Lonchura striata: one gene and its partners. The protein of the gene in region 3 interacts with the protein of the main gene of each other region in a pairwise test. Links are inferred from orthologs where the notes say so. Each region holds a gene or a part of one and is shown on either strand. Other genes may lie near its edges. The genes, in order: ankyrin repeat and SOCS box protein 13, RPLP1 and NUDT3.

Evidence for each region.
Region 1: the proteins of NUDT3 (region 3) and ankyrin repeat and SOCS box protein 13 interact in a two-hybrid assay, tested with the Homo sapiens proteins (2 studies listed by BioGRID and IntAct). The link is inferred for Lonchura striata from reciprocal best matches to the Homo sapiens genes NUDT3 and ASB13.
Region 2: the proteins of NUDT3 (region 3) and RPLP1 interact in a two-hybrid assay, tested with the Homo sapiens proteins (2 studies listed by BioGRID and IntAct). The link is inferred for Lonchura striata from reciprocal best matches to the Homo sapiens genes NUDT3 and RPLP1.

The regions. Positions count from the first base shown.
Region 1 is NC_134607.1:71,793,433-71,801,036, forward strand, and holds the start of ankyrin repeat and SOCS box protein 13, read right to left. Parts: upstream 3,075-7,604; 5' UTR 3,051-3,074; coding exon 3,008-3,050; intron 1-3,007. UniProt on the Homo sapiens protein: May be a substrate-recognition component of a SCF-like ECS (Elongin-Cullin-SOCS-box protein) E3 ubiquitin-protein ligase complex which mediates the ubiquitination and subsequent proteasomal degradation of target proteins.
Region 2 is NC_134603.1:5,028,169-5,034,695, forward strand, and holds RPLP1 (large ribosomal subunit protein P1), read right to left. Parts: upstream 1,918-6,527; 5' UTR 1,790-1,917; coding exon 1,718-1,789; intron 1,624-1,717; coding exon 1,549-1,623; intron 1,444-1,548; coding exon 1,326-1,443; intron 705-1,325; coding exon 625-704; 3' UTR 584-624; downstream 1-583. UniProt on the Homo sapiens protein: Plays an important role in the elongation step of protein synthesis.
Region 3 is NC_134632.1:4,258,464-4,265,605, forward strand, and holds the start of NUDT3 (diphosphoinositol polyphosphate phosphohydrolase 1), read right to left. Parts: upstream 3,053-7,142; 5' UTR 3,005-3,052; coding exon 2,906-3,004; intron 1-2,905. Other genes in the region: RPS10 (small ribosomal subunit protein eS10), read right to left, coding at 4,378-4,419, 4,791-4,846, 5,164-5,241. UniProt on the Homo sapiens protein: Cleaves a beta-phosphate from the diphosphate groups in PP-InsP5 (diphosphoinositol pentakisphosphate) and [PP]2-InsP4 (bisdiphosphoinositol tetrakisphosphate), suggesting that it may play a role in signal transduction.

The DNA of each region.
Region 1 (7,604 bases), on a different chromosome or scaffold from region 3:
CATCAATTACCACCTCTGAGTGTTTGATATCAGTAATCATTAAGCGTGCCACGGGTGCAAAAGTAAAATTTTAGGATTCTAGATTAGGGGACAAGCTGGAGGAAATTGGGTGTGCCTTGTCCTTTTTCTCCTTCTTCATGCCCTCCATGTCTCACTGTGGTGTTGGCATTTTTCTGTTGGTTCAGGCTGGGGACACACTGTCCAACGGAGGTGACAGATATTGGCACGTTCTTGTAAATGCAGCCCAGGGAGTTTCTGGTATTGAATGTTTGTCACATCCCACTGAGGGCAGAGCCCCACACGCTGCCCTGCAGGACAGAGCTGGGCAGGGCAGCAGAACATGTGAGAGATCAACAGAATAAACAACCTGGGAACCAGCACAAACAGTTTATAACTTCTGCTTTGGCAGCAGAGCTAAAAAACAGAAACTTTCTACAATTTTGGAATCATCAACACCTCAGATTCCGACAGTATTTGGCACCCCACGGGATGGGATTTCTCAGGAGGGTGGGGAGGAGATGGGGTGGGATTCACATGTGGGAAGATGTGGTTGTCACACCCTTGGAATTGTCCCAGGATGGGTTTTGGAGAGGGTCTGGAGCAAGCTGGGCTGGTGGAAGGTGATGGAACAAGGGGAGTTTCCAACCCTTCCTGCCCAAATTGTTCCATGGAGATGTGTATTCCTGGAGGAGCACGGAAAGGGTTGGGATCAAGGGAAAAAAACTCAGCCCAACTCAAAAAATCTCTTCCCAAATTCTGGATTCTTGCAGGAACATGAGCTGGCTGGATGGAAGGAGAGCTGGGATCAAAGGAAAACTCAGCCCAACTCAAAAAATCCCTTCCCAAACTTCGGATTCCTGCAGGAACATGGAAAAAGAGCTGGGATTAAGGAAAAGCTCAGTCCAATTCAAAAATCCCTTCCCAAACTCTGGATTCCTAAAGGAACATGGAAAAAGAGCTGGGATCAAGGGAAAACTCAGTCCAATTCAAAAATCCCTTCCCAAACTCTGGATTCCTAAAGGAACATGGAAAAAGAGCTGGGATCAAGGGAAAACTCAGCCCAACTCAAAAATCTCTCAGGATTCCTGCAGGAACATGGGCTGGCTGGATGGAAGGAGAGCTGGGATCAAAGGAAAACTCGGCCCAACTCAAAAAATCCATTCCCAAACTCTGGATTCCTAAAAGAACATGGAAAAAGAGCTGGGATCAAGGGAAAATGGACAGCGTCACCTCCTCTCAGGTGGGCTTTGCTTTGGAGGTGGCCCTGAGCAAAAACAGCTCCCTGTGCTCACGCAGCCCCTCCTTAAAAAAAAAAAAGGGAATTCTGAGTATCAACATTTCCACAGGGTTTTTTTCCCTTGGTTTGGAAGATCCTCATTTCTTTGCCAGTATCCCCGGGCAGGGTGGATTTCCTTGCCTGGAGCTCCTCCTGGTTTTTGTGTCGGGAGAAGCAAATCCAAATGAGGATGGAGAGCTGGAGAGGGACTGGGGACAAGGATGGAGGGACAGGACCCAGGGAATGGCTCCCACTGCCAGAGGGCAGCCAGGGATGGGATTTGGGAATGAGGAATTCCTGGCTGGGCTGGGATTGCCAGAGCAGCTGGGGCTGCCCCTGGGTCCCTGGAATGTCCCAGGAAGGACTGGAGCAGCCTGAGATCATGGCAGGTGTCCCTGGAATGAGCTTTGAGGTCCCTTCCCACCCAAACTGGTCCAGGATTCTGGGATTTGGGACACTCAGGATCCATCCCGAGGGATTTTTATGGAAAATGGGGATAGAAAAGAGAGGGAAAGGGAAGGGAGACCCTTCATGGTTTCTGAGATTCCAAGTGAAGCCCCTGGGTCCATGAATTTCTTGGAGAGGAGATGGATCCAGTGTCAGGCTGGGAGAGCTGGGAATGTTCCCCTGGAGAAGGGAAGGATCCAGGGAGAGCTTCCAGCACATTCCAGGGCCTGAAGGGGCTCCAGGAGAGCTGAAATTTGGGAAAAGCCTGGAGGGACAGGACCCAGGGAATGGCTCCCACTGCCAGAGGGCAGCCAGGGATGGGATTTGGGAATGAGGAATTCCTGGCTGGGCTGGGATTGCCAGGGCAGCTGGGGCTGCCCCTGGATCCCTGGAATGTCCAAGGAAAGGCTGGAGCAGCCTGGGATGGTGGGAGGTGTCCCTGCCCCGGGAATCGGGACACAAGCCCTGGGAGTGACCCAGGATTTGGGCACCCGCGGCTCCAAGGTGGGAACGTCCACAAAACAGCGCGGGAGGGGAATTCGGGAAGAACACGGATCGTTCCCCGGGAATTCGGGAGGAACACGGATCGCTCCCGGGAATTCGGGAAGAACACGGATCGTTCCCGGGAATTCGGGAGGAACACGGATCGTTCCCGGGAATTAGGGGGGAACACGGATCGTTCCCGGGAATTAGGGGGGAACACGGATCGCTCCCCGGGAATTCGGGAAGAACACGGATCGCTCCCGGGAATTTGGGAAGAACACGGATCGCTCCCCGGGAATTCGGGAGGAACACGGATCGTTCCCCGGGAATTCGGGAGGAACAGGATCGCTCCCCGGGAATTCGGGAGGAACACGGATCGCTCCCTGGGAATTAGGGGGGAACACGGATCGCTCCCCGGGAATTCGGGAGGAGCAAGGATCGCTCCCGGTGTCCTGACACCCATCCTCTTAACCCTTTCCTTGCCCCTCGCTCCCTCGCCCAGCAGCCCCCAAATCCCACCCTTTAACCCCAAACCGCTCCTTAACCCCCATAGTCACACTTTAACCCCCAAACCCCTCTTTAGCACCCAAACCCACGCTTTAAACGCCAAGAGCCATCCGTAAACCTCCACACCAGTCCGCGCCACCGCAACCCACGCTGCAAGCGCCCAACTCATGGCGCAAGCCCCAAAGCCCCTCCCGCACGCCGCCAGGAGCCGGCGCGGGCGCGGCTCCGGGTTCTCCCGGAGCGGCCCCGGTCGCAGCTCGCTCCCCGGCGGGTCCCAGGCCCGAGCACACGCACCGATGTCGCCCCGCGCGGAGCCGCCGCCGCCCGGGCTCTCCATGGCCCGGCCCGCCGGGCCCGCCGCGCGGCACGACGGGAGTTGTAGTGCGGGGAGAGAGCGGGGAGCGCGGCGCGGGGCGCCCGCCGCGCGGCACGACGGGAGTTGTAGTGCGGGGAGAGAGCGGGGAGCGCGGCGCGGGGCGCCCGCCGCGCGGCACGACGGGAGTTGTAGTGCGGGGAGAGAGCGGGGAGCGCGGCGCGGGGCGCCCGCCGCGCGGCACGATGGGAGTTGTAGTGCGGGGACAGCGCGGGGAATGGGGAATGGGAATGGGGAATGGGGAACGGGGAAGTGGGATGGGGAACGGGGGAACTGGGATGGGGAATGGGGAATAGGATGGGATGAGGAATGGGGATGGGGATGGGGATGGGGATGGGGATGGGAATGGGAATGGAAATGGGATGGGGAATGGGAATGGGGAATGGGAGAACTGGGATGGGGAATGGGGATGGGGAATTGGGAATGGGGGAATGGGGAATTGGGAATGGGGAATGGGGATGGGGAATGGGGAATGGGGATGGGGAATGGGAATGGGGAATGGGGAATGGGGAATGGGGAATGGGGATGGGGAATGGGGAATGGGGAATGGGGATGGGGAATGGGGATGGGGAATGGGGGAACTGGGATGGGGAATGGGGAATGGGGAATGGGGAATGGGGAATGGGGAATGGGGATGGGGAATGGGAATGGGGAATGGGGGAACTGGGATGGGGAATGGGAATGGGGAATGGGAATGGGGAATGGGAATGGGGAATGGGGGAACTGGGATGGGGAATGGGAATGGGAATGGAAATGGGAATGGAAATGGGAATGGGGAATGGGGATGGGGAATGGGGGAACTGGGATGGGGAACGGGGAATTGGAATGGGGAATGGGGAAACTGGGATGGGGAATGGGGAAACTGGGATGGGGAACAGGGAATGGGGAAACTGGGATGGGGAATGGGGATGGGGAATTGGGAATGGGGGAATGGGGAATGGGGATGGGGATGGGGATGGGGATGGGGATGGGGAATGGGGGAACTGGGATGGGGAATGGGCAATGGGGATGGGGAACTGGGATGGGGAATGGGGAATGGGGATGGAATGGGGAATGCGGAATGGGGATGGAATGGGGAATGGGATGGGGAATGTGGGACTGGGATGGGGAATGGGGAACTGGGATGGGGTCTGAGGGTTACTGGGAGCACTGGGATGGGGTGCAGGGCTTACTGGGAGCACTGGGATGGGGTCTGAGGGTTACTGGGAGCACTGGGATGGGGTGCAGGGCTTACTGGGAGCACTGGGATGGGGTCTGAGGGTTACTGGGAGCACTGGGATGGGGTCTGAGGGTTACTGGGAGCACTGGGATGGGGTGCAGGGGTTACTCCTACTTCAGGGAGAGCTGTTCCTCCAAGCAGAAATCCCATTTTTACATTATTCCTTCATTTTTACATTATTTTTAGGAAATTTAATTTTTTTAGCTGGGAAAAAAATTAAAATTCTATCACTTCTATTCTGCATTGACTTCACTTCTGACCATAAAAATCCACCCTGTCCTTGCTCCCTGCTGGGATGGAAAAATCCATGTTTTTCTCCCAAAAATTACCAATCTGGGAGAAAATATCAATTTTGGAGGAAATACCAATTTGCCCCTGCAGGAGGATAAAATTCCATAAATCCATTCTGGTTTGAAATGACAGAGCTGGAAAATCCATGGCAATAATTCCATAAAAACTGCAATTGTTCCATCCTGGGAGGATTTTTCCAGGTTCAAAAAAAAAAAAAAAAAAGATATTTTTCCCAAAGAATTTATGGCTGCTCCATGCCTGGAATTGCTGGATGGGGGCTTGGAGGAATTTGGGATAGTGAAGTGTCCCTGCCAATGGAATTGGAGGAATTTTAGGTGCTTTCCCACCCAAAAAATTCCATGATTCCAAGATTTTTGCCAGGATCAAACCTTTTGGAGAGAGCTCGTATCTGCTGGCTCCAGCTGTACCTGGTAAAAAGAGCGATAATCAATGTCAATAATTAACATTTCAGCTCAATATTTAAAAAATCTTCAGGTTTATATTGCAAATTTATCGGCTAAGCAGCACCAGGAATTATTTTTTGAAGAGTGAAGCGACGAAATGAATAATTTTTGTGAAAAATAAGAGGGTGGGGAATGGCAGAGACTTGAAAAAAATGAGAATTTTCTGCCTTCCTTGCCACCTTTGAGTCATTTCCTGAGGATTCTCTGTGGTTTAACAGTTGCACCATTAAATTCAAATAAACTGGGTTTTACTTCAAGCCTTTTGTCAGGGCTGGTTTAACTTTAGGTCTGACTTTAAAAAGCCACCAGGACTATTTGAAATGTTTGACATCACCACCCCAGCAGCACCGTGGGTTCCAGAGGCGCAAAACGCCAAAATTGCTCAAAAAGAAAACCAAAACCAAGAATAAATCAAAGCAAAAAGCAAAAATCTTAACTGGGTCGGGAGCACTGCATGAAAAGCCCACGAAAAAGCATCAAAAATTCTCTTTCCTGGGGTATTTTTGATGGTTTTCACCTTTTTTTTTTGGGACAGGCGTGACAAAATTAAAAGGGAAATAAAATAAATGCCATTTCATGGGGTATTTTTGATGATTTTCAGCATTTTTTTGGACAGAAGTGACAAAATTAAAGGAGAAATAAAATAAAATTGGGCAAAATTTGCTGTGAGATCCTAAGAGATTAAAGGAGTTTTTCTTGAGTGAAGAACGGGGCAAGGGGGTGACACCTTGCTGTGGAATAAAGTAAAAATTTGGGTTTAAAAGTCCAGATTTTGCTTTTTTTTTTTCCCTTTTTATTTTCTGTTCTTTTTTTTGTTTTGTTTTGTTTTGTTGGTTTTTTTGGGTTTTTTTGGGGTTTTTTTGTTTTGTTTTTGTTTTGTTTTGTTTAGTTGGTTTTTTTGGGGTTTTTTGGGGGTTTTTTGTTTTGTTTTTGTTTTGTTGGGTTTTTTGTTGGGGTTTTTTTTTTTTTTTTTTTTTTTTTTGTTTTGTTTTGTTTTGATTTGTTTTGGTTTGGTTTTTTGGTTTTGGTTTTGTTTTTGTTTTTTGGTTTGCCACCCCTTTAGAGAAAACAGAGCAGAAATGGAGGGGGCAGCAAATTTCTGCCCACTCGAGCTGAAACCCGTGGATTTTTTCGGAGAAAATCGGAAAAATCGCTGCCTTGTTGTCAACATGGGCTTGAAAAATTAATGGAAAAGACAGGTCCCTTCCCACCCAAACGATCATAAGGAAATAGGAGAAAACTCAGCATTTCCATGATGAGCAAGCCAGAGAAATGCAGCTTTTCCATGAATTTCTGGGATTGACCCAAAAGGATCCTCTCTGCTGTTTGCAGGTTGTGTTCTCCCCCGGACTGCCCCACAAAGTCAATAATAAATAGAATTATTTGCTTTACCCTGATGTCACCAGGAGCTGCTGCTCTCACCTCCCGCTTGAGTCATTGCGCTGCCACTCTTCACGGAGCCGAATAATTCGATTTTTTTATTCTGAATAAAAATAAAACGCCAAACGGTTTCTTTAAAATCACATCGAAGCGCACCAGAAAACTTTGTGAGTCAAGAAGCCAAAATAAATCCACGCCAGGAACCGGGTCCCCACCACGGTGACATCATGGGCTTGGCTTGTCACCACCCAAAAAAATCACGAGGCACCAAAAAGAGAAACTTTTCCCCACCAGGAGTAGCTCCCAAGACTGAATTACTTGGATTTCTTTGGGCACAGGGCTGGGGGTTTTCCCCTCTTAAAGGGCAGCCAGGAAGGAATTTCTGTCTCAGCAAGAATTCCAGGTTTTTATCCGCCAGAAGGAGCTAGAAAAATCCCATGGATCTGGCAAATTTGCTGTGATAAACGCTAGAAAGAAATAATAATATGTTAATAATAATAAATAATTAAGCCTAAAAATGGTCATCGGCAAATTTGCTGTGATAAACGCTAGAAATAAATAATAATATGCTGATAATAATAAATAATTAAGCCTAAAAATGGTCATCGGCAAATTTGCTGTGATAAACGCTAGAAATAAATAATAATATGCTGATAATAATAAATAATTAAGCCTAAAAATGGTCATCGGCATCATCAATTTGCTGTGATAAATGCTATAAATAAATAAGAATACATAAATAATAATTTATAATTAAGCCTAAAAATGGTCATCAGCATCATCAATTGCTGCAATAAATGCTATAAATAAATAATAATATGTTAATAATAATAAATAGTTAAGCCAAAAAATGGTCATCAGCAAATTTGCTGCGATAAATGCTATAAATAAATAATAATATGCTAATAATAATAAATAGTTAAGCCTAAAAATGGTCATCGGCAAATTTGCTGCGATAAATGCTATAAATAAAAAATAATATGTTAATAATAATAAATAATTAAGCCAAAAAATGGTCATCGGCATCATCAATTTGCTGTGATAAATGCTATAAAGAAATAAGAATACATAAATAATAATATATAATTAAGCCTAAAAATGGTCATCGGCATCATCAATTTGCTGCGATAAATGCTATAAATAAATAATAATATGCTAATAATA
Region 2 (6,527 bases), on a different chromosome or scaffold from region 3:
CTTTGGAATACCTGGAACACAGTCCTTACCTTGTTCAACTGTTCTGGAGAAGTGCTTTCAAGGGTTATTTATAAAACCCATGCCTTTTAAGTAGCCCCTTTCCAGTGCAGTTACATCACCTCCCACAAGCACCCTTTACACCAGTTTTCTGGCCAGGTAAATCTATTCTGTACCTTACACAACCTCAGCCTTCTACCCGAGAACTGCAGCCTTTTTCCCCACGATGAAAAGCCTTCGGCTTTGCTGTGCCACAGCTGCCCCTGCACGGGTGCCATGGGAGCTGCACTGCTGCTGTAACCAGGGGTGTCACAGCACCAGAGGCTGCAGCACCAGCCCAGCCCTTCTGCAGAACAGGATCCCATCCTACAGCTCCAGGCTGTCACCACCACACCCTCTGCTCACCGGGATTTCATTCCTCCCTCTGTTCAGGGACTGTGGGTGCCTTTTAGAGCTTGTGGAACACCAAAAAGCTGAGAGGGGAAGTTGTAAAGCCCCAGCTGAGCACTCATGACAGAAGTTTAAGGAGGTGCAGGTAACTTGGCCATTCTCCACCCTCCACAAACATCCACCTGAGAGACATGAGTACAAGCAGATGTTCTTTATTACAGGCTGGTACAAAATTAATTAGTCAAAAAGACCAAAGCCCATGTCATCATCAGATTCCTCTGATTCTTCCTTCTTCTCCTCTTCTTTCTTCTCCTCAGCTGGAAAGGAAATGAGACAGGATTTATCTTTCAATTTATCATCTCACAGAAGTCACTTGTCACAACAGGTGTCACATGCAATGACTAACATCAAGCATGAAGACCTGAGCAGTCCTAACAACCTAAGCCAGCAGCAAGAATAGTGAATATAAAATAGAATAGTGTTTGTACTAGTAGGAAGAGTGGTTTTGTGACTTCAGAGTTCATTTCTATCAAAACTGAAAAACTTTGGGAGAGGAGATGCTGATGCTCTGTATGATCCTGATGACATACAGGAAAAGCAATTTAATTCTGAGGGAACACTAATCCTGTACACTGACTTCATGTGCAACGCCAGCCTTTCTCAAGGGGAGGGCGTGCTTTGCTCAAGAACACTCACTCACACACTGCATGGCACCAACCACATGCAAGCAGCTCCTGTAGCCGGTGCTTGCAAAGCTGCGGCTGCCCCATCCCTGCAAGCGTGGGATGGGCCTCTGAGCAGCCGAGTCTAGACGACGGTGTCCCTGCCCAGGGCAGGAGAGTGGGAAGAGATGGCCTTAAAGACCCTCCCAACTCAAGCCACTCCACGGATCCACGGATCCACGTTCCCAGGTCCGGTCGGACGCGGCCGCCACTTACCGGGGGCGGCTCCGCCGGCGGGCGCGGCACCGCCCGCGGGAGCGGCGGCAGCCGGAGCCCCTCCGCCGCCCGCTCCCACGTTACAGATCAGGCTCCCGATGTCAATGTTCGCCAGCGCCTGCGGAGAACGACACGCGGCAGCGAAGCCCGGTTACCATGGGCGGGAGGTGCGGTGCGGAGCCCACACGCCATCTCTGCCCGGCCCGCGGCCCCTCTCGCCCACCTTGGCGAAAAGCCCCGGCCAGAAAGGCTCCACGTTCACTCCGGCTGCCTTGATGAGCGCGTTGATCTTGTCCTCCTGCAAGAAGAGAGCGGCGCTCAGAGCCCGCCCGGCGCGGCCCCTCAGGCGGCCATGCCGCGCGGCCGCCGCCATCTTGTGCGGCCGCACTCACCGTCACGGTGACCTCGTCGTCGTGCAGGATGAGGGCGGAGTAGATGCAGGCGAGCTCGGAGACGGAGGCCATGGCGGGGCGCGGTGCTGGTCGCCGGGTGGTTCGGCCTTAGCTTCGTACGAAGGACTCAGCACCTTGGGCCTCCGCGGAGCGAAAGGGGCCGGGCGCCGCGGCGCGGGTTTATAATGGCGGTGCGTGTTGCGTCATCTGTGACGTCACCCGCGGCCCGCCGCGCATGGGAGGTGCGCACGCGCGCTCCCGCCCTCCCCCTTCCCGGTCCCTCACCGGGAATGATCCGCCCGGAAAACCGGGAGCGGCGCTGGGCAGCGGGGCTGCTGCTCCCCCAGCACGGCCAGCACCGCCCGTGCCCCCAAGGGCCACTTCCCCGCGGCTTTTGTGTCCCTGCAGGGGTGCGGACTCCGCCACTGCCCTGGCTGAGGCCGTTTTCCCGGGATCCAAACCAAACCTCCCTGGCACAGCTTGAAGGACCCAAGCCCTCCTCCCCCATTAACTATTTCAGGTGTTACTGCCTCGCTAAAACACTCCATTTGCTGAGTGTAATGAAACGGGAAGAAAAGGTGCAGAACTGTGTGGCCTGATTTTCTCCACCCGAGCATGACAGGAGCTTTGCTGTGCAGTGACCGAGCACTGAACAGATGGGCCGGGGAGGGTGGGGGTCTCCCTCGATGGAGAGATTCCAGCGCTGTGCTCTGGGATGGCCCTGCTGGAGCAGGGGGGTGGCACCAGGTGACCCCACTGTGGTCCCTTCCAACCTCATCGTTCTGGGATTCTGGAGAGCCTGAGCAAATTCCAGCGTTTTGCTCCAAAGGCATAATCGGATTGTGAAAAATGAATGTTCTCCGTGTTTTCTTTTTTGTCTTCTTGACAGATGTGCAATTGATGAGCCTCACCTCAGTGGCTGGGCAGGGAATGGAACAGATTTCCTGGAAGCTGTGCCAGGGCACTCCTGGAGGACAGGGAGGTGATTTAGGACATCCACGGCTCCATCAAGGTCAAGTCCTGCCTGATCAGCCAAGGGACCTTCCATGATGGAGTGACCACATGGAGTGGACAAGGGAAGGGCTATGGATGTCACCTCTCTGGACTTCTATAAAGCCTTTAACACAGTCCCACACAACATTCTTATGTCTAATTGGAGAGAGATTAATTTTATGGATGGACTGTTTGGTGGATAAGGAATTGGCTAGATGGTCACATCCACAGTGCAGTGATTGACTCAATGTCCAGATGAAGATCAGATGTGTCTCTCACGTCTGTTTGGCACCATTATGATTTAAAGTCTTCATCAAAGACATGAACAGGGGGATCAGGTGCATTCCTGTGCATTGCAGTGGGGCTGGGCTATCTGACCTTTCAAGGTCCCTTTCAAGCTTGAAATTTTAGAATCCTAAAATGACAACTGTTACCAGCAAAGTGTATCCAGCCTGCTTTTGTAGTGCTCCTTTATAGAAATCTCAGGATTTATTAGGCAATTACAAGTGAAAACTGAGAGGGACTTTACCTCTTGACATTACCTCCATCCTTTCCTAAGGATCACAAACAACTGAGAATTTCACTAAACAAAAATCTAACACTACTCACTGCTGGAGATGATAAATGCACAGTGATGCAGTGCATAATTTGTGGGTGCTTATTCCTATTTGTGGGGCCAACAGCTCTGAATTTAAGCATTTACTTAAACTTCCTATTCAAAGCACAGGACAATTGTCTACATTTTTATACCTAACTCAAAGCAGCAAATAAATGCACTTTTCCAGTGGGATTAAATATCCAGGAACTTCTGTCATTGCTGGGTGCTTGAGGATGGGATTTCACAGGGACTTGTGTGAGCCTCACTCCGGGGCTGCCAAGGTCTCCTGTGCAAAAGCCCTCAGAGCTGTCCCAGTGGTCCATGAGATGATGATCTGACTGGAAAGTAGCAAGAGAGATATAAGATCCTTTTCAATCAAATAAACTTGCAAATTTTGCTGGCCTGGGAGATGAGTACTGGAAGTGTACAGGCAGTCAACAAAATTATATGCTTAATAGACATGGTTTTGTAACAGTTCTGCTACAACAGTCCTTAAGCTAAAAATTATTAGAAATTCTGATGGGTTGTTAAAAAATAAAATATGAAGACCTAAAATTTAAATGTGACATTCACATAAACTTAGGTTTTGGTTGGCAAAGATGTTAATTAAATGAGATTTGCCTGCATCCTTGCTTCATGGCTGTCTTGCTGCATCTATTGAGTGACACTGATAAAGCTGCTCTGTAGGAGCCCAGAATAAAGTTCTGATGAAAACAAATCACTATGTAAAAGAAAGCAAAAAGCCAAAAGAAACCCCAGTTTTGCTGCTTCCTAAAGCTTTTGGAAGCCTAGGTATGTGATCGGGACTGCTGGTTAATAAAGCTTAATTAATAAAGCTGGATGATAAAGGGTCTAGAAATTTGCAGTGGTGTGTGCTTTTCACCTCTGATCCTGTAACTGTCTGTACTTTTACTGTCTAACACATCACCATGCATTTGGAGCAGAAATCTGTTCTGGATAAATCTACAGCAAATAGATGGAGGCTTTAAAAAACCCCAGCAAACCCCCTTACATTCTTCTGTGTATTCTGCTATTCCAGGGTGGTGAGTTATTTCCAGGCTGTGAGGTTTAGGATGATGCTACAGCTGTGTACTAGCAAGCTGGTCCAGGATCACACAGGGCTGTCTTCAGGATAAACAAAACAAGTAACTTGGCTGTGAAACTTCCCTGAGGTGGATATTTGACACTTGGGGGATGGATGGTGAGGAGCAGTGGCAGAGATCTCGCTGGATGTGCCTGTGCATTGCCAAGGAAGATGAAAACATCAGCAAGCTCTGTCATTATCATACAAAAAGCAGTCAGCCCTTAGCACCTCACCCTGAATTAGCTGTGTGAACACTACAGAGCTGATGCTGAGAGTTAGAACATGACCAAGGCCACTGGTGGTCATCAAAGTGGTCAGACTCAAGAGGTCTTTACCAAGGAGACTTGAAGTTGATTGTTCCTTTCTCTGTTCTTGTCCTTGCTACACTATTTGGTTGCTGCTCATAACCTTCCTGAGGTGATTCTTCTCTCCTCAAGCTGCCTCTGTCCCATTCTAAGGCTGCAGTTTCTCAGTGACCAAAGGCAAAGCGTGGCCACAGGGCCAGGGCAGTGATTGTCCCCCCGTAGTCAGCACTGGGGAGGCCACACCTCGAGTCCTGTGCTGAGATTCGGGTTCTTTACTACAGGAAGGACATTGGAACCTGTCTGGAGAAAAGGAACAAAGCTGGGGAGGGAAGGAGCTGCCTGACAGGAGGCTGAAGGTGGGGCTTGGTGTCTTCTGCCAGGTAATGATGATAGGATGAGAGGAAATTACTTCAAGTTGTGCTCAAGTTGTACTCAGGGAAGTTTAAATTCACTATTAAGAAAAATTTCTGCATGGAAAGGATGGTCAAGCATTGGAACAAGCTTCCCAGTGAAGGGATTGAGCCTTGGAGGTATTTAAAAGACATGTAGATGTGGCACTTAGGAACATGCTTTTTTTCCTGGTGAACAGTCTCAGGTACAGTATTTACTTCTTTTATCTTCTTTCTGGAAAGTCTTTTTTGTTCCTAGTTGGATTTTTTTGTTTTTTGGTTGAGGTGGGTTTTTTGTTGTTGTTGTTGTTGTTTTTGGTGGTTTTTTGTTTGTTTGTTTTTTCCACTGTAACAAGGTCATTACAATGAAGAACAAAACTCTGGTATTTCTTGAAACTGTAACAACCAGTGAGTGTAACACATCCCCAATAGGTGGTGCTGCATCTTTTCCATCAAGTTGAATTGTTGCATTGTTGGCCCTGATCAGCTGGAAAAAATTGTTTTTTTGAGTGAACTGAAGTTAGTAATCTAATGATAATTAGTTGTTTTGTTTTGGGTTTTTAAAATATAAATTATTATTGCAATTCATTTGACAAAATAAATGCAGTTTTGTAACTTGGTAGTTGGGAGAGTTATCTATAGAAAGACAAAAATCATGTTTTGGTCCCTCCACCATGGATTAATTGTGGTTTAATATCTAATTGTTAAAATAACAAACAGTTCCTGAGCAGGGGGCCAGAACCCTCAAAGTGTTTGTAAAATTTGAACACTTTAGTGCATAGAGCCATGAACTTCTTCACTTTGGCTCTGATTTTAAATTCTTATGTAAAGCAGAATGCAGAATATGTGCCAGGTCCAATGCATGTACTGCAGGATAACATCTTAAAAGTTAGGCTAGTTGAGAGATGACAAACAAGAGCTTAAATCCCTTCCAAGTCAAGAATAAAATTCACATCTTTCAGCTCTGAGTAAAAATTTTTGCTACTGTATCATTGCAAACAATGACTGTCAGACATTTATAAACTCTGGGGTTTTAAAATTAATTAAATTTAAAATGGGAATGGTTGTTACTTAGGTTATGTTTTCTCATAAAAAGAAAAGCTGTATCATTTGTCACTAGCCTATTTGTGTATAAAATATTTTCCCTAGATTGCTGCCACTGCTATAAATGATTTTTAAAATGCTGCTCCTAAATACCATCTTTGCTTCAGAATTATTAGTACATACTTTTTTCCAAAATTAATAATTTCTACTGTGACAGATATCAGTTCTGGGAAATGTCATCTTGAAATTCAGCAGTTAAGAAAGGTATTGTGCCCAGCAGTTACTAATTTTTTTTCTTTTGAAAAACCTAATTTTAAGTGTTTAAGAAGCTGTTCTTACACTACCGTATAATTGTTAATACAGCATATAAAGACCATGCTTAAAAAAATGCTGTTAC
Region 3 (7,142 bases):
GTAAGAGTAAACAGAATTCTCTTGTTTCTTCTTGTCCATTGACAAACTTTTTAAATTCAAGAAATAATGCGGGGTTAAAAACAGGAAAAAATGGGATTTCTGAGTTCATAGCAGGAAATGAAGAAGAAAGGCAAGACCAAAGTTCTACTATTTCTTAAGCACTTAAAAGGAACAGTAATGAGAAACAGCCAGTCCTAGGAAAAATCCTACTTTAATATAGAAAGTTTAATTTATTTATCAAAACATTCTTATTTTCTTCTCTCTTTTCAAACACTAAGCTTTTAATAGCTCTTTAATGTACATACTTTGGCTCTGACTCTTTCTCCCCTCCCTGGAGAGACCTTTTAAAGAGATCTCAATTTCCACTTAAATAGAAGCAATCAATAATAAAATACGTCAGTAACATTAGAAAGTATTATTGTCCAAGAGCAAACCAAGAAATCTTTCACAGCCATTTTATATTCTGTGCTTAAATGTGTACAGATGACACCTTTCTTGCTATCAAAATTAAGTGCAAGTCGCAGTGAGTGGACACCAGGCAGCTTCTTTCAAAGTTTATTTAAAAACCAACAAATGAGAATTAACCCAGGAAATAATTAGAAAGGAAAATTAATAAGGTGTCCTGCTTGCTGATTTCACTCATTGACACAAGTTTAACTTCAACACCTTTTGACCAAGGCCAAGTGCAGGATCTGAGCACAGAGTCCATCCCAGTGGGGTTAATTCTGTGGGATTGGTAAGAACTTTCCCAGATGTATTTGTGACAAGCCCTCTTCCTGGGCAGCTCCTGCAGCAGGGCTGTAACAGGTGGGAGCACAGGAGGCACTTTCAGCTCAGGGTTCAACTCCCAGCTACCACACACAGCCCTTCCCTGCCTCATTCCTCACCAGCAGCACACATAGCACACCCTGAGGAAACCAGCCCAGCCAGGAGTGCAGCCACTGCTCCCTCCCCGAGCTGTCCCAGGGCAGCAGAGCCACTGCCAGCTGTCACTGCGAGCTCAGGGACGAGGCCACCAACAGCGACCACAGGGACAGCACAACGCTCACCCAGAGCCTGCCCTGCTCACAGAAACCTCCCACGGGCCCCCAGGAATGAGCCAGCACAACCAGCACAGGGAGCCAGCTCCCTCAAACCCTGCCTGAAACCAGACACAGATCGTTCTACTCCAGCCCTTACCTAGAAACTAGAGCCTGAAGGAGTTTAAATTCAACCCACTGCAGGTGGAGACCACAGCGAAGACACAAAAGGGGTTTTGAATCTCAGCCTTACACCAACCTGACAGCTGAGCCTGCTGAAGCATCCATCCCACGCCAGCGTGCCTTGGGAACGAGCTCACTTTCCTCCTTGGAGCTCTGAGCACTGTGGCACTGCCACACAGCCTGGTGTCCCCAGCACAGTGAGAGCTCTGTCACCTGCCATAACACACCTCGGTGTCCCCAGCATCATGAGGGCTCTGTCACCTGCCATAACACACCTGGGTGTCCCCAGCACAGTGAGGGCTCTGTCACCTGCCATAGCACACCTGGGTGTCCCCAGCACAGTGAGGGCTCTGTCACCTGCCATAACACACCTCGGTGTCCCCAGCACAGTGAGGGCTCTGTCACCTGCCATAACACACCTCGGTGTCCCCAGCACCATGAGGGCTCTGTCACCTGCCATAACACACCTCGGTGTCCCCAGCATCATGAGGGCTCTGTCACCTGCCATAGCACACCTGGGTGTCCCCAGCACCACAAGGGTTCTGTCACCAGCTCCCACGGGCCGGAGGGATCAGCTGGAGCTTGGGCAACACTGCAGCCTGAGGTGTGTTAAAATAAAACTCACAACCGGTCACACGCTGAGTGCCTCAGGCACCTGTTAGAAGTACTTTTCTACCCTAAACCACACTGCATTCACACATGGCCAAGCCTCCACCGTCTGGAGAAGAGCCTGCAAACTGCCCCACTAATTGTGTACAATTCATCAGGGCACTCCAACGCCCTGACCCACCCGTGCTGAGCACCCCCAGCATCACCACACAAAAACAATGATGGTCCTCTTCATGGTCAGTCCATAAATTTCCTGGAAGTCCGTGGGAAGGATCAGCTACACTGAACACTACACCAAACACACTGCTGTCATTTCAGACCATTTCTGCTGAAATGCTGACACTCCTCATCACGCCAGCACAGCTACAAAGGGCTTGCAGTCTCCTTCACGTTAAATAATAACTGGATGTATGCTAATTGCCTTTCCTCCAGTGAACTGTCTGCATTCCCTCCCGATTTCCTGTAGCTACAAATATGATAATCAGGAGAACAAAGACTTTAGCACAGCCACTCGGGCACAGCAAATGCAGCGGAGTGTGTACGCCTGACTCCAGCAGCAGCAGCAGCAGAAGGCAGACCTGCAACCTCGCTGCTCGGAGCACCCCGAGCCCACCTTCAGGAGCTGTCAACAAAAATTGGTGTAAAACCGCACACGGGAGCGAAGTTTCTCACTGGAACTTCCCGGACAATGCAGCCCCTTAGCAACGCGGCCGTTCTCAAATCAACCGATCCACCTTTATTTCCCACTTCCTCCCAAACTCTCCGGACAGCAACTTCTGGCACTCCATCAGTCCCCTTTTATCCCAGTTTCTTTTTATAAATCCAAGGTCAGGTTTCCTCTGCCATCTCATGTGATGCACTGGACTGAAGTTCTGCCAGCGTGGTCGGTCCCCACGCTGCCAAACCCCCTCCCGAGCTCCCCTCCGCCCGTCCTGCCGCCCACCGGGCATCTCCAGCGGACACAGCAACCAAGCGGGCAGCGCCAGCTCCGCCAGCGACGCCGAACGACGCCTATTAAAAATAAAACCCCGTTGCACCGAGTCCCCCCCACCCCGGGGCGGCTCGGGGGTCCCGGGCCCGGCCTCGCCCCTCACCTCCTCCTCGCTCTCGCTGCGGAAGCACAGGCAGGCCGCCCGCTTCTTATAGCCATCCCCGTCGTAGGTGCGCGTCTGGTTGGACTTGAGCTTCATCATCCTCCGCTCCGGGGGCGGCGGGGCCGGAGGACGCGCGGCCCGGAGGGCGGGGGCGGGCGGGACCCACCGGGCGGCGAAGGACGGGGGGGGGCGCGGGGGGACCGCCTGCCCGCGACAGTCTCTCTCTGGTTCTCGCTTCGTGGGTCTCGCTACGCGCTGCCGCCCTTCGCCCGCCTCACCCCTGCCCTCGCTGCCGGCCGCGCCGCCGCCACCGCCCGCGCTCCGGCCACCGCCGACGACGACCGCGCCGCCATCTTGGGGCTCGCTACGCAAACGGCGTAGCGCCGCCGGGCGGGGAGGCGGCGCTGCCCCTGCGGCCTCACGGAGCGCCAAGTGCGCAGCGCGGCTTCCAGAATCGCTCCCCCCGCGCTGGCGGCGCCGCCACGCCCCCGCCCCGGCTCGCGCGCTCTACGCCATCGGCGCGGGCCGCGTTCGGGAATAGGGCGGGCGGCGTAGAGCGGCGGCGGCGGGCGCTCGGCCTTACGCGAACGGCGCAAGGGGCCGGGCCGGCCGCGCGCACGTGGCCCCGCGGTGACAGCGGCTCCGCGGGGACGGCAGTGCCCGCCCTGCGCCGCGCGGGGGCGCTGCGGCAGCGCCGGCACCGCGCCGGTCCCGGCCCCGGTGACACCGCGGGGCCGCGTCCATCCCCGGTGTCCATCCCCCCGGTGACACCGCGGGGCCGCGTCCATCCCCGGTGTCCATCCCCCCGGTGACACCGCGGGGCCGCGTCCATCCCCCCCGGTAACACCGCGGGGCCGTGTCCATCCCCGGTGACACCGCGGGGCCGCGTCCATCCCCGGTGCCATTCTCCGTGTGTCCATTCCCCCTCCGGTGACACCCGGCTGGGTGTCCATTCCCCTGGGTGACACGCCAGGTCAGTGTCCGTGTGCCCGGTGACACCGCGGCCATCACGGCCCGTTACCGGTTGTCACCGGCTGCCCAGCGACACTTGGCGGCAGGCGGCGGCCACTGCGCCACTCGCCCCCCGTCGGTCCTGCCGCCATCCCGCCCCCGGTCCCCACAAGGGACAGCCCAGGTGACAGCGCAGGGTGCGGACACGCGGGCCGTGTCCCCATCAGAGGGACACGGGCTGGCACAGCTGAGTTTTCCAGCTCAGCCCCAGCCCAGCCCTGCTGCATCGCCCCGGGCAGATGGGAAATGCTCCTGCATTCCTCCAGGACTCACTTCCACACCCCTGAACTTCCTTCAGCAGAACAGAACCTGCATTTAGTCACTCCCAAAGTGCTGTCCCAGATGCCAAAGCTCTGAGTCACGCTGTGCTTCGTGAGTTCTGTTTGTGTGCTTCAGACACAGGCATGAACCCAGTGGCATTTTCACCTCTTTTATTATACACAAAACATGAGCACGAAGTTCTACTGCGGGGGCTGACCACGTCCACGACCGAATCCACCTCTCTGCAACAGCAAAAGGAGTGTTAGAAATCATTGTGTCAAGCAGTGACAAACATCATCAAAGCTCTGATGGCACAGGTCAGCCAGGCGAGTGCCACCAACATCAACACATTCCAGCCAGCTCTGTGGATCAAACCTGAAATACTTTCATTTTTGAGGTATAAAACCATGGATCTCCAGAGAGCTCAGCCTGCTCTCAAACTTGTCACTGGCCTCTGTCCCACCACATCCTTTCCCTACAGTGAGCAAGCTGCATCTGAAGGGTGACAGTTTCCAGCCCCTCTGACACCCTCAGAATCCTACAGGCAGGACCTTCCAGCTTCTCCCACCAAAACCTTCAAAAAAGGAAGCAAAGTTCAAATGCAAACACTCACAAACTGGAATTCTGTGGCTGCTCCAGCACCAGCCTCAGCCTTCTTGTCAGCACCAGCTGCAGAAAGAGAAGCAGTCAGTACCCACAGAATCCCCTGCCTGGAAGCAAAGTTTTAACCATCCCACAGAACTAAAACTGGGGCTAAACACAGCAAAGCAACAGCTGTAAATGAGCACGTTTGAGAATTACTGAGCCAACCCCAGGGCAAACCCCACAGCTCAGCTGGACAAAACTCCAGCACTCCTCCCATCCACGCTCACATACAGACCCATAGCTATGCCAAGAGCCTCATCTTCCTCTTTTCTCCTTGAGAGGAGCCCCAGAGCTGGACAGTTGTCCCCGAGGGGGCAGGGGGGCACAGGGGGCACACTCACGTGGCACGGCGCTGCGGCGGTACGTGTCGCGGTCAGCCTCACCCCGCGTCAGCCGCGCCGGGCGCTCGCCCTCCAGACCTGCAACACAGAGCAGAGCCTCAAACGCTGCTCAGCCAGGCCACAAACACAAAGCTCCTGCACCCCAAGGTGCAGAACAGCACCGGGTCTGCCAGCAGTGCTGCACCTGGAGCAGTTCGGGGAGAATAAACCTAAGGGAAGCAGTGATTTAGTAAGGGAAACTTCACTTTAAGAGTGAAATCTGCTCAGCTTGGGGCAGGGTGGAAGTTAAATAATGTGAGAAGTGGGTTTACAGCATCATCCCAATTGTCTTCTGGACATCAAACTAGTGCTTTGTTGATAAAAATCCCAGAATACTGGGAGTCTGCCATGGCTGATGTTGGTGCACAGCTGATCCCAAACTGCAGGACAGAATTCGGACCCCAGCCTGAACCAGCCACACTGTCAGTACCCCAAATTCCTCATGTCAGTAAAAGCAGATTATCTGTAGAATGTCAGATTAATAGCAGACAAAACTGCTGCAGGAACACCCAGTTGTGGTGGGACCACCACCTCTCAGGGACTGGGCTGTGTGCCTGGAGCCCAGGCTGGGCAGAGCCCACCCAGGCAGGACCAAGGATGCACCCCAGCATCCTCCTGAACATCCACATGCATTGGTATGGCCATAAAAATCCCAGTTCTTGCAATAATTATTTTACTACACCACCTCTGTGGCTCTCAGACTGCTGCTGCCTCATCCACAGTAAAAAAAGAGCACCAAGTGCAGCCCTTCCAAATATCCCTGCCCAGAGGGGGCTGAGGAGGGTTCCAGCACCAGGACAATCCTGTGACACCACACACAGCTCCTCCTGCACAAACCCCAGCCAGAAGCTGCCAGTCCTCCCTCCCTCCCAGCAGGGATGCAGCTCCTTTAAGCTCACTGGATAAACGCAGCATCTAAAGAACAAATCTTGGAACACCCAAGCAACTCAGAGATCAAAGAAAGCATCGTATTCCCAGTTTCTCTGCAATTCCTTCCTTTGAAGCAGGTGATGCTCCCATTTTGTTTGGCTCAGACACAAACTGCAGCAGCTGGGGGTGAACTCCCAGCGCTCCTTGGCCCCCAAAGTGGCTCAGAAGCAAAAAAGCACAACCCATGTGATCCCCCAGAGCAGAGTCTGCTGCACCCCCTGCACTTGGGGTGTGAAAAGCCACCAAGGGAAAATCAGAGCTGCAAGCCCCACACACAGAATCACAGAGCAGCTGGGGCTGATCTGGAGCTCACCCTCTTCAAGCCCTCTCAAGGCAGGGTCACTCAGAGCAGTGGCACAAGAACGTGTCCAGGTGGGTCTGGAATGTGCCCAGAGAGGGAGACCACCACACCCCCAGCTGCTCCAGTGGGAAGCTCTTCCTCATGCTGAGGTGGAACTTGCTGTATTTTAGTTTCTGGTCACTGCTCCTTGTCCTGCCACTGGGCAGCGCTGAAGGGAGTCTGGCAGCATCCTCTGGTACATGCCCTGGGCAAATCTGTGGGGATTTGTCTCCTCTCCTCCAGACTAACAAGGCCCAGCTCCCTCTGTCTCTCCTCACAGAGGTGCTCCAAACCCCTCAGCATTTTTGTGAGCTCTGCTGCTCCTCCACCACGAGTTTGCTGTTCACCTTAAACAAGGACCTGGTTGTATTCCTGTGGGAAATGGCTTTTTCCCCACCAGAGACCCCTGTAGCTGTAACCATGTTAGTTTAACCTTTCCTTCCTTTCTTGACCTAATTGGCTGAGAGCCAATTATATTTTCATGAGCAGGAGTCTAGACAAGGCTCTGTTCTCCCTTGTTCTCCCTTTTTCTCCCCTGGAAACTTTTGAGAATAAAAGTCTAGGACTACATTGGGGGTTAGAGCTTCTTTTGGAATCTTTTACCTTGCCCCTGAAATATTCCCCCAAAGCCTTCTCAGATCTGGGCTGTCTAGCAACTCCAGGGTGCTGT